Linked DNA regions of Ovis aries. The protein of the gene in region 2 interacts with the protein of the main gene of each other region in a pairwise test. Links are inferred from orthologs where the notes say so. Each region holds a gene or a part of one and is shown on either strand. Other genes may lie near its edges.

What was found.
Region 1: the proteins of RGS19 (region 2) and GNAO1 interact in a two-hybrid assay, tested with the Homo sapiens proteins (2 studies listed by BioGRID). The link is inferred for Ovis aries from reciprocal best matches to the Homo sapiens genes RGS19 and GNAO1.
Region 3: the proteins of RGS19 (region 2) and GNAI2 interact in a two-hybrid assay, tested with the Homo sapiens proteins (2 studies listed by BioGRID and IntAct). The link is inferred for Ovis aries from reciprocal best matches to the Homo sapiens genes RGS19 and GNAI2.

Annotation. Positions count from the first base shown.
Region 1 is NC_056067.1:23,771,454-23,775,962, reverse strand, and holds part of GNAO1 (guanine nucleotide-binding protein G(o) subunit alpha), read left to right. Parts: intron 1-1,367; coding exon 1,368-1,496; intron 1,497-3,158; coding exon 3,159-3,288; intron 3,289-4,509. UniProt on the Homo sapiens protein: Guanine nucleotide-binding proteins (G proteins) function as transducers downstream of G protein-coupled receptors (GPCRs) in numerous signaling cascades.
Region 2 is NC_056066.1:53,495,522-53,500,798, forward strand, and holds the start of RGS19 (regulator of G-protein signaling 19), read left to right. Parts: upstream 1-1,776; 5' UTR 1,777-2,444; intron 2,445-4,088; 5' UTR 4,089-4,231; intron 4,232-4,968; 5' UTR 4,969-5,045; coding exon 5,046-5,075; intron 5,076-5,277. UniProt on the Homo sapiens protein: Inhibits signal transduction by increasing the GTPase activity of G protein alpha subunits thereby driving them into their inactive GDP-bound form. Binds to G-alpha subfamily 1 members, with the order G(i)a3 > G(i)a1 > G(o)a >> G(z)a/G(i)a2.
Region 3 is NC_056072.1:50,152,919-50,157,498, reverse strand, and holds the end of GNAI2 (guanine nucleotide-binding protein G(i) subunit alpha-2), read left to right. Parts: intron 1-671; coding exon 672-800; intron 801-1,185; coding exon 1,186-1,315; intron 1,316-1,400; coding exon 1,401-1,554; intron 1,555-1,922; coding exon 1,923-2,113; 3' UTR 2,114-2,137; intron 2,138-2,803; 3' UTR 2,804-3,815; downstream 3,816-4,580. UniProt on the Homo sapiens protein: Guanine nucleotide-binding proteins (G proteins) are involved as modulators or transducers in various transmembrane signaling systems.

The DNA.
Region 1 (4,509 bases), on a different chromosome or scaffold from region 2:
AGTCTTGATCCCCCAGCAGTGTCATCCCCTTTCTAGGAGTGTGGCTTCAAGCTCACCTTCCCTGAACCTGGGACCAACATCGGCTCTGTTTACCTAGGGAGAATTCTTATAAGGATTTGAGGCAGCTTGGATTGTTGGTTCACCAGTGGACACCCTCCTTAGTGGAGGCATCCGCCCTTCCCAGCCCCGCCCTGCCAGTGGGTCTAGAGTGGGTGCTAACGAAGCTGGGCGCCTCTGTGCACAGCCTGGGACTCCCACATCACGCCATGACTCAGACCCTCACGGTTGCTCCCTGTGGGCTGCATATGACTCCCCCTGCACAGGGATGGGTTGCCCAGCTGGCCCTGAGGGTCCCTGAATCTTCCTGCCAGTCTGAGCGAGCTCTCTGCTTCCTAGTTTCCTGGATCTCAACCTGACTTAGGGTTCAAACCTTAACCCGTACCAACCCCTAAAGCTTTCCCAGCGTGTGGCCTTGGAGGACCAAATGCACAGGCCAGGTCTGTCTCCAGGGCAAGTGATGGCATGGCAGGGGCCATGATGCCTAAGGTACCAGCGAGGCCCCGCCCCTGCCTGTCTGTGTGGCTTCTGGGCCTCCCTCCCAGGAGCATCAGATGGGAAGATGCGACAGCCCCCTGGTAAACCTGAGGAGTGTGAGAGGTGGGTGGAGGCGCAGAGGGCCTCTGGGAAGCACTGCAGGGTACTGTTAGGAGGTGGGATCCAAAACCCTGACTCAGGGCTGGGCCAGGCACTCACCTTCATTAGAAAACCTGAGTTTTCTAATCTAGGAAATAATACATTTACCTCAAGAAATTAAGGGTGGAACATGATAATGCGCAGAAAGACTAGAAGCTAACTTTAGCCCATCGTTATTTTAAGATGAAGAAATGACAGTGTTAGAAACACGTGTGTGCACGCTAGGCTGCTTCATTCATGTCCGACTCTTTGGGAGCCTATGGACTGTAGCCCACCAGGCTCCTGTGGGATTCTCCAGGCAAGACTACTAGGATGGGTTGCCATGCCCTCCTCCAGGGGATCTTCCCGACCCAAGGAACAAACCCGAGTCTCTTACATCTCCGCATTGGCAGGCAGCTTCTTTACCACTAGCACCACCTGAAAGCCCATAAACACATTAGTCTCATTGAAAAGCCTGACTTGTCTGAGTGAGGCTGAACTGTGTGCGAAGCCCTTGGTCTGAGTTAGAGGCTCTGAGCGCCTGAGGCCGGGACGCGGGCGTCTCTTCCTCAGCTCCGCCCCACACCTGGCCCTGGACAGGTGATGCCGTCCCTCCCTGGCTTGGGTCGGGGCTGGCACTCTGGGAGGGCAGTGCCCACACCTGGTCCACAGTCCCCGTGTGCTGCCATCCCCAGCTACCTGGACAGCCTGGACCGGATCGGGGCCGCCGACTACCAGCCCACCGAGCAGGACATCCTCCGAACCAGGGTCAAAACCACCGGCATCGTAGAAACCCACTTCACGTTCAAGAACCTCCACTTCAGGTGAGGGCCAGGGAGACTCCCCATCCCTGGAGAGGGTGCTAAGACACGGGCGACCCCTGCCTCCCAGCCTCAGCTCATCTGGAGCATTCCTGTCTCAGGGAGCTCTCAAGTTGGGACAAGCAGTTGGATGCGAGAAGGGACCTGTGTGTACCCCTCTTTGCCACCAAGGTCAGGGGCTGTGGTGAGCAGGGAGGCTTCCTAGAAGAAGCATCCTGGAGAGGGGCTCTGAGATACAGGGAGGATTCAAGTGGACAAAGGAGGGTAGTCCTGTCCCTGCCTGACTTCTGACGGGGAGGATGGTGGATCACCCAGGTGGTCTTTGAAGGCATGGAGGCGTGGGGGATAAGAGCGGGCGAACCTAAGCAACATGTTTTGTGTGACCCAAGGACCCATGTCATCTCAGAACTAGAAGGGGCTTGGAGATCAGCTGGCCCACCCTCTCCAGGTATATAGGGGAAACTGAGACCTGGAGGAGCAAGTCTGTTCCCGAGCACAGAACATAGCTCAGGCCCAGGGTCTGAGCACCGTAGGCCCTGCCAGGGTGTCATAGCACCACCTGGGGCAGCTTGCATGCCCTGAGGCCTGGGTGCCCCTAGCTGCCTCCAGCTGCCTCCTGGGTGTGGTTTCTGGGTGTTGGGTGGAGCAGGAGGAGAGGCCAGGATGGCCAGGACAGTAGACCAGTAGACTTGAGTGAGGCCACTGCCTGGCCCTGCCCAGCCTGAGGCCCAGCCCCTGCCTGCTCTAGTCCCTCAGTCTCTCCCACTTACCGATCAGGGCAGAGGGTGTAGAGCTGGGCTGGGGGCGCCTGGCCCGCAGCAGCTGAGAGTATGTGCTGTGGAGGGGCCTCAGAGACCATCACCAGGGCCCAGTATTTCAGATGGAGAAGCAGGGTCCAAGGGAGGTGGTGACGGGATGAGGACCGGACCTGTGTCCTTGCTCTAGGTCCGCTGTGGGCTTCGGCCTGTGGCTGTTCTCCTCTATCAGCGGGTTGGGGCCCTGCCCACCCTGGCAGCTGTGCGTCAGGCCTGGGATCTTCACTCAGGGCGTTAGATGTGAGGTTGACCTCGCACTTCCAGGACCAAATCCCCTCTGCCACCATCTCCCCTGACAGCTCTCATGCCCCAGGGGATGATGCTGAGAAGGGGTGAGGGAGGGCGGGCACAGAGCAGAGAGACAGACGTTGACAGCCAGACGTCTACAGACCGACGTTGGTCTCACCCCAACTCCTGCCGGCACCCTGCACTCAACCCCTTGCTGCTTCACTGGGCCTCCACGTGGGAGCTGCAGGTCCCTGCCCACCTCCCTCTGTGCCTCCCAGGCTGCTCTGGGGTTTCCCCGGACCACAGACGTGAACAGACATGCTCAGAAAGCTGGAGGCTTGCGAAGGCATGTCCAGCCGAGGTCACCCCTTCGCAACAGCGCTGAGATGCAGGGGCGGGTCTTGGCGTCGCTGTGTGGGGCACCACCCAGTCCCGGGGCAGAGCAGTGACGGCCACCCCACCCCGAGGGTGCCGTGCTCGGTCCTCAGCCCGAAGCGAGGCTCCTTGGGAGGCTTGCTGTGTGCACAGCAGCCTTCCTCCCTGACCCCGCAGCTCGACCAGTGTCCCCACACCTGCTGGGGTCTCCCTACCCCCACCCCCAGCTCTCCTGTCTTCCTGGTAGGCTGTTTGACGTCGGGGGCCAGCGGTCTGAGCGCAAGAAGTGGATCCACTGCTTCGAGGACGTCACGGCCATCATCTTCTGCGTCGCGCTCAGCGGCTATGACCAGGTGCTCCACGAAGACGAGACCACGGTGAGTGGCCCCAGCCCGCCCGGCCTCAGTGGCCCACGATGCCTCTCGGGCAGAGCCAGCTGCGGGGGTGGGGGTCCGTCCTTGGCTTGGTTGTTCCCACCTCTCTCCTGACTTCAGCCAGATGCCTCATGATGCCAGTGCAGTGAAGGCAGCCTTGGGCCCCCTGCCAGAGGCTATGTGCAGATGCCGGGGCACGGGCAGCAAGGGCCTCTTCAGTAAACACAGCAGAGTCGCAGAGGCCGTCAGGCCAGAACCAAGTTAAGCAAATCCTAAATGAAATCAGGGTGCAGTCAAGCAAGAATTTATGTAAGACAGAAATAGCAGTTCTTAGCTCCGACAGCCCTCCCTGAGCAGTGGGCAGGGCTGGCAGAGGGTTGGGCTGTGGGCCAGGGCTCATGGTGAGTGACAGGGTGGGGGGCACAGGCCCCTCCCCTGGAGGGCGCCAGCCCGGGTTCCCACCTTCCGTCTCTGCGTCTTCAGTCTGGGGCCTCGGAGAACTGCCAGGCTGAGGGGAACTTCAGAGGGGGGCCCTCTCTGCAGGGGGTGCTGCCTTTCTCTAGGCCTGGCCTTGGTTTGCTGCTGGATTCAGGGAGCACCCTCTCTATCTTAGGGGTGTAACCATCATACCCGCCTGGTGGGGTGTGGGCAGTGGGGTGAGAATCTTCAAGGACTTGGAACCGTCTCTGGCTTAGCAGCCCTGGGCTGGTGGTTGTGTCGTCCCTGAGGGTTGTCCTGAGCCGGGGTCCCACTGAGCTGCCCACAGAGAGGTGGGCCTGGTGGGGTCTCAGGAGACAAGCACCCGCTGAGGTGGGGCTTCTGGGCCGTGGGGTCACATCCTTGGCGATCGTTAGCTCCTGTGTGTGATGCAGGCAGGCACAAACCCCTGGCGCTGAGGTTTTGGGACTGGGCTTGTCAGGGTGGGCCTTGAGCAAGGCTATCTTCTTTCCGGGTCTGTCTCGTCGTCGGTCCTGCCTGCCGGTCCCACGGGGCTGCTACTGAGGTCTGCTGGGCTTTGGGGTGTGGTGGTATGGGAAGAGGCGCCGCCGTTCGGAGAGGTCGGGCTTATGCGGTGACGGTGCCATGGTTAGATGGGGCCAGAGCCACCGGCCGGGTGGGCCGTCAGCACTCGCGCCGCATGCTGACCTGTCGCCCTTGCCTTTTCTCCTTCGGTACCTGGAACACTTCCGAGCGGGGCATCAGCGGAACCCCACAAACCCTGCT
Region 2 (5,277 bases):
GGTGGGGGCTGGGATGGGGGTAAATTTGATCACCCCACCATGAAGGCAGCCTTGGTCCGGAGAGAATAACTGGGAAAGTAGCCGAGGACATTGCTGCAGGGCCTGGAGGAGGCTTCTGCTACGAGAAAGCAAAGCATGCAAGCCACAACCCAATGACTGGAGGCTATAAGGGATTGGGATGGGAGGCGAGGCGTCCCCAGGGCTGGGAGCTCATGCTCTAGACAGAGGGTCCTGGGTCCAAATCCCACCCCCAGTGTTACCCCAGGAGAGACATACGCCTACCCCCACCACATCCAGCTGCCCCACACATCTCAGGATGCAGGTGGAGATGCCATGTCAAGCATCACAGCATGAGCATGGCTGTTTGGCCTGGACTAAGTGTTGGCCCATCTTTGAAGGCCTTACCTCCTGGGACAGTTATCTAGGCTATATAAGAAGCAGCCACCTCCCATCTGGGTAGGCTTCTGGCCTCTGCTCCAGCCCAACCAGCCTGTCAACATGACAGCCAAGTCCTCCAAGGACACAGCATAAGAGGCCCCCCAGCCTTCGGGGCCTCTCCCTCCTCTCTGGCCTTGGCCTGCACTCTCTCCAGCTCAGCTCAGCTCTCTGCTGGCTCCAGTTTTATCCTTTGCCAAGCAAGATGCAGGTCTGAAACACCCGCTCTCTGCTCTGTGGTTCTCCTTAGCCCTCCTCACCTCTCACCCAGTCTGCAAGTCCATTTCTTGTCTGCTCTATGGCTGGTCTGTTCTGCCCACTGCCAGGTCCCAAGGCTGACATGTAGAGAACACCCAGACATTTGCAGGATGAAGACAGTATGTAAATTCTCCCCTTCCCTTTATATCCCCAAGAGCGCTGAAAAACGCGAGCATATACAACTTTGTGCAACTGGAAGGCATTTTGTGAGCAGGCCCAGGGACCAAGGGACATGAGCTGTACACACTCTGAGGCCAGGGGACTCAGACACTCTGCAGACCACTTTCAGAGCAGGGTCGGGGCCGTCCAAATACGGGCCCAAAGCATGCTGGGATAAGGAATTTAACTCACATCTGTACCGAGTCATAAAATACGAGATTTGGCCAAAGAGAAGAGTCAGGCATTCCTGGCAAAGGGGAGAGTGTGGCTTTAAACTTTAGAACATTTTGGGGCAACTGGAAGGGTTGAAAGGGACTCAGCCGGCCACGCGGACAGGGACTTTGGCGACCCCGGATATAAGAACCATTGCCCACCCCTCACCCCGCCCCAGTGGCGCCGCAGCCCAGGAACCGCCTTCCTTGGGAAGGCCCTACAGCACGGTGACTGACAGCACGCCCTTGACCGCGTTTCACAGCTAAGGATACTCCGTGCCAGAGCCTAGGGACGGCTCGGGAGTGACCACGGGGTCCAGTCCTTTCCAGCCGCCTCTCCCTTCCTCAAGAGGGGCAAGCAGCCCACGGAGTCGCCCCCTTCCACCCCCCTACCCCTGTAACGGCAACGCTGGACTGGCCCCGCCGAGAAGAGCTGGAGGCACGGCCACACCCCCAGCTGCCGCAGTACCACTTCAGCCGCTCCGGGAGCCAGAGGCCCCAGCATCAGCACCTCATCTCCACGGGCCACTCAGCGACAATGGGGACCCAGACGCCGCGCGCGAGCGGTGGGGAGGGGGCGGGTGGGGCGCGGAGCCGGCAGAGCTCGGGGCGGGGCGCGCCGGGCGGGGCGGGCCGGGCCGGGCACCTCCCCGCGCGAGGAAGTCCCGGCCCCGCGCTTTGGGGAAGTGCGGCCGAGGCGCCTGCGCACTGCAGCCTGCGCCCGCTCCCCGACGATCCGGCCGGACCTCGGAACGCGCGGGCCGGCGGCTGAGGCGCGAGCGGCTCGGGAGCGCGGCCGGTGAGTGCGCGCGCGCGGCGCCCAGGACGGCAGCCCTGCCCCTCCGGCCCGGGGCCCGTGGGCTGTGCGGGGCGGGAGCTTCGGTAACCGGCGCCCAGATCCGCGCCCCAAGGACTCCCGCCGAGGGGTCCACGTGGACCCTGGGCCGCGGCGGGACTGGATGCAGTCCCCGCGCGTGGGGGAGGGGGCGTTGCAAGCGGGTTCCCCTTTTTCTGCAGCTCAAAGCCTGGGGAAGTGATTGCTCAAAGTGGGGGGGGGGGGCCGGAAGAACCCAGGTTTCCGCGTCTCCCGTCCCCCCTTCAGCCTGGTGGGGAGGGGCCGAGGCGGGACACCCGTACTGCCCCCGCCCCCACCCCGCTGGATCTGGCAGTCAGTCATCCCCGCCAGTCGGAGGGGAGGCGCTGCGCCCCCGGCCCGAGCTGATCGGGGGCTCCTGGCGCCAGCCTCGCTCCAGAACGCGCAGGAGGACCTCCTGCCGTCTGACTTGAGTCCTGCTGCTGCAGTGCACGCCCCTTCGGCAGCCAGGGTGGGGCCCAGAGCGACCTGGCCCCTCCCGCCCCCACCTCGCCTTTGGGTCGCTGGTGAGTGGGGCGCGTGGCGAGTTCCTTGAGGGTAGGGTGGGGGCGTCAGAGGCCGGAGAAAGGGGCAGACTTCCCCAGGCCAGACCCTATTAGCCGAGAGAAGGAGAGAGAGAAGTGGGTTGCCCCTGCCATTGCAGAGGTGGGCTGGGGCGAGGGTCACCAGGGCTAGGAAAATTGGCCTGCCTTGGAGCCGCTAGGCTGGGACGTCCCTACCAGCCCAGTGGTGGAGGGCCGGGGGCGAAGCAAACAGGAAAGGTGCTGAGGAGGATGAGAAGAGAATGGAGCCCCTCTGGCAACCCCCCTCACAAAGGTTATGGCATTTTTTCCTGGGATTGTCACATTTTCTTATTCTTTTTTTGGACTGGGCGGGCTCGGGGACGTTCTTTTTCCTTCTGTGGAGCAGAGCAGCAGCTGCTCCCGAGGGAACCTCTGTCCCCAGAGGCCAGACTTACTGCCCGTCCAGCTTCTCCCATCCTAGACTTAGGGGCCAAAGCCTGGATGGGGCTGGGGAAGAGGAAGGAGCCCCCTTCCACATGCCCGGATGAGGGGCAGGAGCCCTGATTCTGATCCTGTAACCCCACTAGGAGAGAGAGCAGGTGCCCCAGAGGCATAAGTGGTCCCAGCCGGCCTGGGGATGGTGCAGGGAGCCAGGTTCAGGGGTGGGCGACAACGTCCAGGGCCTACAACCAGGGCAGAGGGGCGGCCTCTCCCCATCTCTGCCACAACTCAGCCCCCAGCACCTGGGCGCAGCACTCTCAGGCAGGTCCCCTCCTCCAGTTCAGAGCTGATTTGGAGAAGGCAGCCTAGGGAGTTTAATCTTCAGGGAGCTAGGGGGTGGTGGTGGGGGGAATTGGGGCCCTGCCCCCACTCACAGTGGGTGGAGATGCTGAGGAGGAAGAGCCGCTCTGCCTGGGGAAGTCACAGCCCGGCTGGGGTACAGCTACCAGACCTCAGAGGTTGCCACACCCCTTCCTTTCCCTAGAAACTTGACCCCTGCGGGAAGGCAAGCTGTGGGGCTGCTGTTTCCCCATCTTGTCTGTTTGCTGGAAGCTTGAAGGTCCACCTTCCCATGCTCCAGGGGAAGCCAGGCAGGCAGCCAAGGGCCAAGACCCCATGGGCCCCTCCACCTGGCCCCCAGATCCGGGTCAGGGCAGGGGCCTCTGCATGCTCAGACTCTGGAGACAGGGGTGCCCTCAGCGTGCATGTCTCGGGCTGTCATCCCTGGGCACCAGCACCTGGCCAGGAGATGGGACGCCGGGGTTGCCCAGCCTGCGACCGTCCTGGGGCCCGTCCTGCAACATCGTTTTCCTCTCCTGCCATCGCAGACCCCAAGAGGCCAACTGAACCAAACAGGCACTGAAAAGCCAAAGCTGAGGAATGGGGGGCGTGGGGGGGGGGGGAGGCAGCAACTGAGAGAATGTTCATTTAATGAGAAAATAAAGTGAAACCAAGTCGTGAGTCTCTCGCGGCGGGGTTTCAGAAGGTCCGCGCCCCAGACGCGCCAGGGGCCGCCCCTACCCCGGGGAAGGGGGCGGGATGCCTCACCTGGGCCGAGGTGGGGGTGGGGTGAGGGCAGGTGGGAAGGCGTTCAAAACTGCCTCCTGGAGCCTGATTGGCCGCCCTCGGTCCCTGCGTTCCCAACAGGGGCCGCTCATCCGGGTGGGACTGAGCACCCTCCGCACGCCCGCACTGCAGAAGGGGAAGGTTCGCCCCGATGCCGCTCCGAGCGGAAGGGACCCCGCGGCTCCTACCCGCCCGGGAGCAAGACGCGCCACCGCCCGCCTGCGGCAAGGCCTGGGGCCGCAGCGGTTTCCGTAGCCTGGGGGTGGGGAGGGGAAAGGAGGCTGGGAGACCCGGAGGTGCCAGTCGAAGGTTGGGTGCGGAGCCAGCGTCCGGGCTGAGAAGGCGGCTGTGCCTGCTGCACTGCCCGCACCTTCAGGACGCCCTGCCTCAGCCCCAAGCCCTACTCCAGTGCTCCGTGCCACAGGCCTGGTCTGCTCCCTCTGCGGAGTCCCTGGGAGTAGGCGGGGGGCCTCCAAGGCCCCGCAGCCCTTCTGAACTCCTGGTGGGAAGCAGCCTCCCCACCTCCCACCACCCATCCCCTGGAAAACCTGGGAGGGAGGTTCTGAATGTCTACCACCACCCCTGAGAGCCTCAGACTCAGACTCAGACTCTGGGGGCCTGCAGCCCCCTGGGAGGGGCCAGGAGCCGGAAACCAAGAAAGAGGAACCCCTGCTTCCGGCTTCCCAGGGAGGGAGCAGATGGGGGTGTCCCAGAACCTCCTGTGGAGAGCTTGTCTGGGGTCTCCTCCTTCCTGATCCCCATCCCCTCACATCTTCTGTGTAGACTAGAGTGGGGGTTGGGCCTGGGCAGAGTAGTCTAGAGGTGGGAGGTGGGAGGCGGAGGAGAGTCCGTGGAGGTGGGAGGCCAGGGAGGCAGGTAGGGAGAGACTCAGAATGCCTGGCAGGGTGCCGGCCAGGGCGGGTGTAAGGTTCTCAGTGAGAACCCCGGCCTCTCTTCTCAGACCCCCAGGCTGTGGTGACAGAAACAGGTGTCCTGGAATAGGCACCACGGAGCCCTGGCAACCTCCTCCACCCATCCATGCCCACCCCACCTGAGGCTGAGAAGCAGGTGGGCTGCCTCCACCCTGGCCGCTGCCCCTTGGGGGGTGGGGGGCTAAGGGCATGACTAGGAGTTCAGAGACCCATGGACATCTGGGAGGCCACAAGGGTCATAGCCCTGGGAGGGAGCATGGCCTCCGGTGGGCAGTTGGGGCTGGAAAGCGGGTGGTAACCATGGGCTTTGCCTGGAGGCTGAGGCAGCCCTGTCTTCC
Region 3 (4,580 bases), on a different chromosome or scaffold from region 2:
GGGACCCCTGCCAAGCAAGTGGTTATGCCCTTCCCCTAAGGAGCCCAAATTTTACTGGGCGCTGGGCAGAGAGCCCACTGGGCCTGGCAGGCCTCAACCTGTCTAGCCCTGCGTCAGGGGAAATGCCAGGCTGCTCTGCGGCGGGTGCCATAATTGCGCCGATTAGCATCCTGCATCCCTCAGCGCAGGACTAATTTGCCCCCTCCCACCACCCTCTCCTGCAACTCCACCACCCTGGCTCCTGTGTGGGGCAGGCCTGCCTCCAACCTGGGTGCTGGGGCTTGGCTGGTTGGCCTCAGAGTTGCCCCCCGGCTGAGCGGTAGATGCCATGCAGGCAAGGGTTAAGGAGTCAGGGGCCTGTGTGAGATAGAAGCTAGTGGGAGTTTGCTGGAAGACCCCAGGGAACTCAGACCTTGGGGCTCGCTAACAACCTAGAGGGGTGGGATGGGGAGGGAAGTGGGAGGGATGTTCGAGTGGGAGGGGCACAGGTAAGCCTATGGCTGACTCATGTTAGTTTGGTAGAAACCAACTCAATACTGTAAACCTATTATCTTTCAATTAAAAATAAGCAAAGAAGAGTCAGGAGCTATGCCTGAGAAATAAAGGGACGGAAGGGCAAGGGGCCAGTTGGCTCCCACTGATGCCCCCCCCACCCCCATACCCCTTTGCAGCTACCTGAACGACCTGGAGCGCATCGCCCAGAGCGACTACATCCCTACGCAGCAGGACGTGCTGCGGACTCGAGTGAAGACCACGGGCATCGTGGAGACGCACTTCACCTTCAAAGACCTACACTTCAAGTGAGCGGGCTTGTGGGCTGGGAGCAGCCAGCCTTGGGGGTGACGGGTAGAGATCCTCACATTGGGGTCTGCTGAGGGCTGTGCTGGGAAAGAGGGTTCATCTGGGATCCCCCAGCCCCACTCTGAGTTCCTTAAGGCTGTGTGGTGGCCAGGAGCTCACAGCCTCTGCTGACCCTGCCCCGTGTGGCAGCCATCTGCCCTGCTAACCAGCCTCACTCACTCCGCTGGGCCAGAACTGGGGGAAAGTGGGCCAGTGTGGGTGATACCATGGAGGCAGCTGCCTTACCCTGAGCAGGCCTCTGTCCTCAGTCTGTCAGTCCATGAAACGGGGCAGGGGGCTTCTCCCAGAACTCCCTTTTCTGGAGCTGAGGCGCTGTGTCTGCAGGATGTTTGACGTGGGCGGCCAGCGGTCTGAGCGGAAGAAGTGGATCCACTGCTTTGAGGGCGTCACAGCCATCATCTTCTGTGTAGCTCTGAGCGCCTATGACCTGGTGCTCGCCGAGGACGAGGAGATGGTGAGAGGCCCAGAGGCCACGGGCAAGGGAGCGCTGGGGGAGGTGTGGGAGGTGGCTGGTGCTGAAAGCGCTGTCCTGCCCCCAGAACCGCATGCACGAGAGCATGAAGCTGTTTGACAGTATCTGCAACAACAAGTGGTTCACAGACACGTCCATCATCCTCTTCCTGAACAAGAAGGACCTGTTTGAGGAGAAGATCATACACAGCCCCCTGACCATCTGCTTCCCTGAGTATACAGGTGTGGGATCTGGGCCTCTGGGGAGGAGCTGGTGGTGACCAGGTGGCCCACGGGTGCCCCCCACTGGACAGGAGGGTAAAGTGCGGGACACTCATACAGAGCTGGTGCTTCACAGGCTTACACACTTGTGTCTGTACATCCTAGGGCCCTTTTAACACACTTGGGCATGTACCCCATACACGTCACTGGGCATCGTCCCTCACACAATAAGGTGCCCCTCTTTGCACACTCAGATGTGCCTGTGCACTCTGACAGTTGTCACACATCCAGGCTTGTTGGTTCACACGCACAGAACCCTCTCTGGACTTGTGGGATGGGCCCGCCTGCCCACGTAGCTCGAGTCCTCACCATTTTGCCTACCCACCCAGGGGCCAACAAGTACGACGAGGCAGCCAGCTACATCCAGAGCAAGTTCGAGGACCTGAACAAGCGCAAGGACACCAAGGAGATCTACACGCACTTCACGTGCGCCACTGACACCAAGAACGTGCAGTTCGTGTTCGACGCCGTCACTGACGTCATCATCAAGAACAACCTGAAGGACTGCGGCCTCTTCTGAGGGGCAGCGGGGCCTGGCAGGATGGTGAGCCGGGGGGCGGGCCGGGAGGGCCAGGGAGGGCCACTGAGCCCGGCCAGGGGGCAGGGAGGGCCAGAGTGTCCAGCCGGGGGTGGCGAGCTCGGACCCCGGGAGAGACCAGAGCGCGGGGCATGGGGGGCGCAGGGTGTTGAGTCGGGAGGGTGACAGGGTAGGGCACTGAGGACGGGGCACAGGGAGGCCCGGCAGTCCAGACAGTAGAAGCATCGGGCTGTGTCCTGGGACAACTGGAGGGCTGTCCCCATTTTCCTTGGCGAAAACTCACGTTCCCACCCACAAGGCCACCGGACTGGCCTGAAGGATTGAGATGACAGAAGGGGCCCAGCCGCCCTCCACTCAGCACGACCAGCTCTGTGCTCACCTCTGCCATCTTTCCCTCGGACCCAGCTGAGGGTCCCGGGCTGAGGCTGGCCTCACCAGCCCCTGGGAGTGGTGGGTGGGGAGGGTTCTGCCAGAGCTCCAGTCTCCCCTCCCATTCATTCTTGAACAGGGGTTACAGTGTGTGTGTAACCCAGCAACATACACCAGCACCATGTCCCTGGTAACAAGTGGGTGGGGAAACTGGAGAAGGGTCATCGTCTAGGGAGGCGGGCAGAGAGACCCACACTGGCTACCTCCCTCCCGACCCACGCCCTGACTGTCCCCCACCTCCAGGGCCACCGCCGACTCTGCTACCCCAGCCCCTGCGGAAGACGGGGGCAAGAGGACCACGCTCCCCGCCTGTCCCCCTGGCCGCTTTTCCCCTTCTTTCCTCTCTGTTTTTGGCTCCCCACCGTCCAGCCCTCAGCTCCAGAGACTTGGGGGAGGGGCTGCCACAGGCCTCCCTGTTTGAAGCCTGCCCTTGTCCCAGGTGCAGGGAGTGCCCTAGCCCCTCCTGGTCTCCATTCTGGTTTTAACCATTGTTTTGTTCTGTGATGGGGGAGGGGAGCCCATGCTGAGTCTCCCACGGCCTGTGTTTGGAGGGGCACCCACTTCTCCAGCCTGGGACCCCTGGCTTTGCCCAACACCAGCCCCTGACCCAACCCGAGTCCAAATGTTTACAGGGAGCCTCCTGCCCACCCCCACAACCTGCCCCCACCCCCAAGCCACTCGGAGGCCCCAAAGGAAAAAGCACAAGAAGCGTGAGACGCCACCATTCCTGAAGACCACAGTCCACTTGTTCATTCTCGTAGCTTTTTTTTTTTTAATTAAAAGAAAGTCAAAGGGGGGGGAAAAAAAAGAAAACTGCAAACCTAGAAAACTTTTTAGAAAAAACTATTTAAAACTGTCAGATCCTGACCAGCACCCACCCAACCCCTTTCCGGTGATTCCGTGCCTTGAGTGTGTCTACGTGTTTACACCCATCCCTCTGCTGGTTGCCCCCTGTGCGGGTGGCACCCCGACCCTGCCCTCCACAGAATTGGGTTCCAAGGGCTGTTCCAGACAACTGCCAACATCACTGAGGGCCCCACCCCAGTGGCCCTGGGCCCTGGCTCCATTAACCTAAACGTAGCTCCTTAGCGCTAACCTAGGAACCGCCGCTGCCTGCTGAGGGGCCATGCCCCTCATGCCCTCGCCCCAGGCCCGGGTCCTTCAGCGTTGAACACTTCCTTGCTTTTTTCACATGTTTTATGGAATTGTTCACCTGGTTTGAAATAATAAAACGTAGAAAGAAAAAAAAAAAAGATTCCAAGACCTTCTTGGCATTCTTCTCTCCTGCAGGCAGAGACCCAGGCTTAGATGTGCTAAGGTGCTTGTGGTCTTGCCCTGGGTACTCAACTGCCAGGTCATACTGAGGCCCAGTACTCATCTCTTCAGTTTTCCCACTTGGACTAGTCATCTTAACGTGTTAGGGGCCTCTAGGTCCCCCCCTTGACCCCCAGCGCCTCTGCAGTCTTGGGTCTGGGGCAGCCTCCTGGAACAGTGGGGCCGATTTCTTAAGAAGCTCACCTAAGGGATTCTTCCACACTGGGAGCAGGAGTGTCCAGTGAGTCTCTGAGGCTTTCATGAAGCTATGGGAAGTGCTCGTGCGTTGCTGGAGGAGGGAGCGGCAGATGACAGTGACTGTGATCCACAGTGGCTGTGGGTGAACCCCAAGAGCCAGGCAAGGTCCCTGGACTTTTTCCCGGGAGCCGGCTGAGCCCGTGGGGAGGGGTCGGTGAAAGGCCCTCCTCTGCCGGGCGGGGTTCGTAGACGAGCTTTTCCACCGTCGGCCGCCAGAGGGCGCGGCAGTCCACGCTTGGCCCCGCCGGGCTGGTCACGGAGGCTGACGTCATCGGGTCCTGCGGAGGCCGCGGGCCACAAAGGCCGCTTTGTAGGGCGGCGGCGGGACAAAGCGGCCCGGGCCGGGGTCGGCGCCTCCGAGGCGGGAAGGGCGGGGCGGGTGGGAGGATAGGGCCGGGGACCTGGGACCCCGCCTCCGCACACCTGGCAGTCCCCTCTCGGCCTCTGG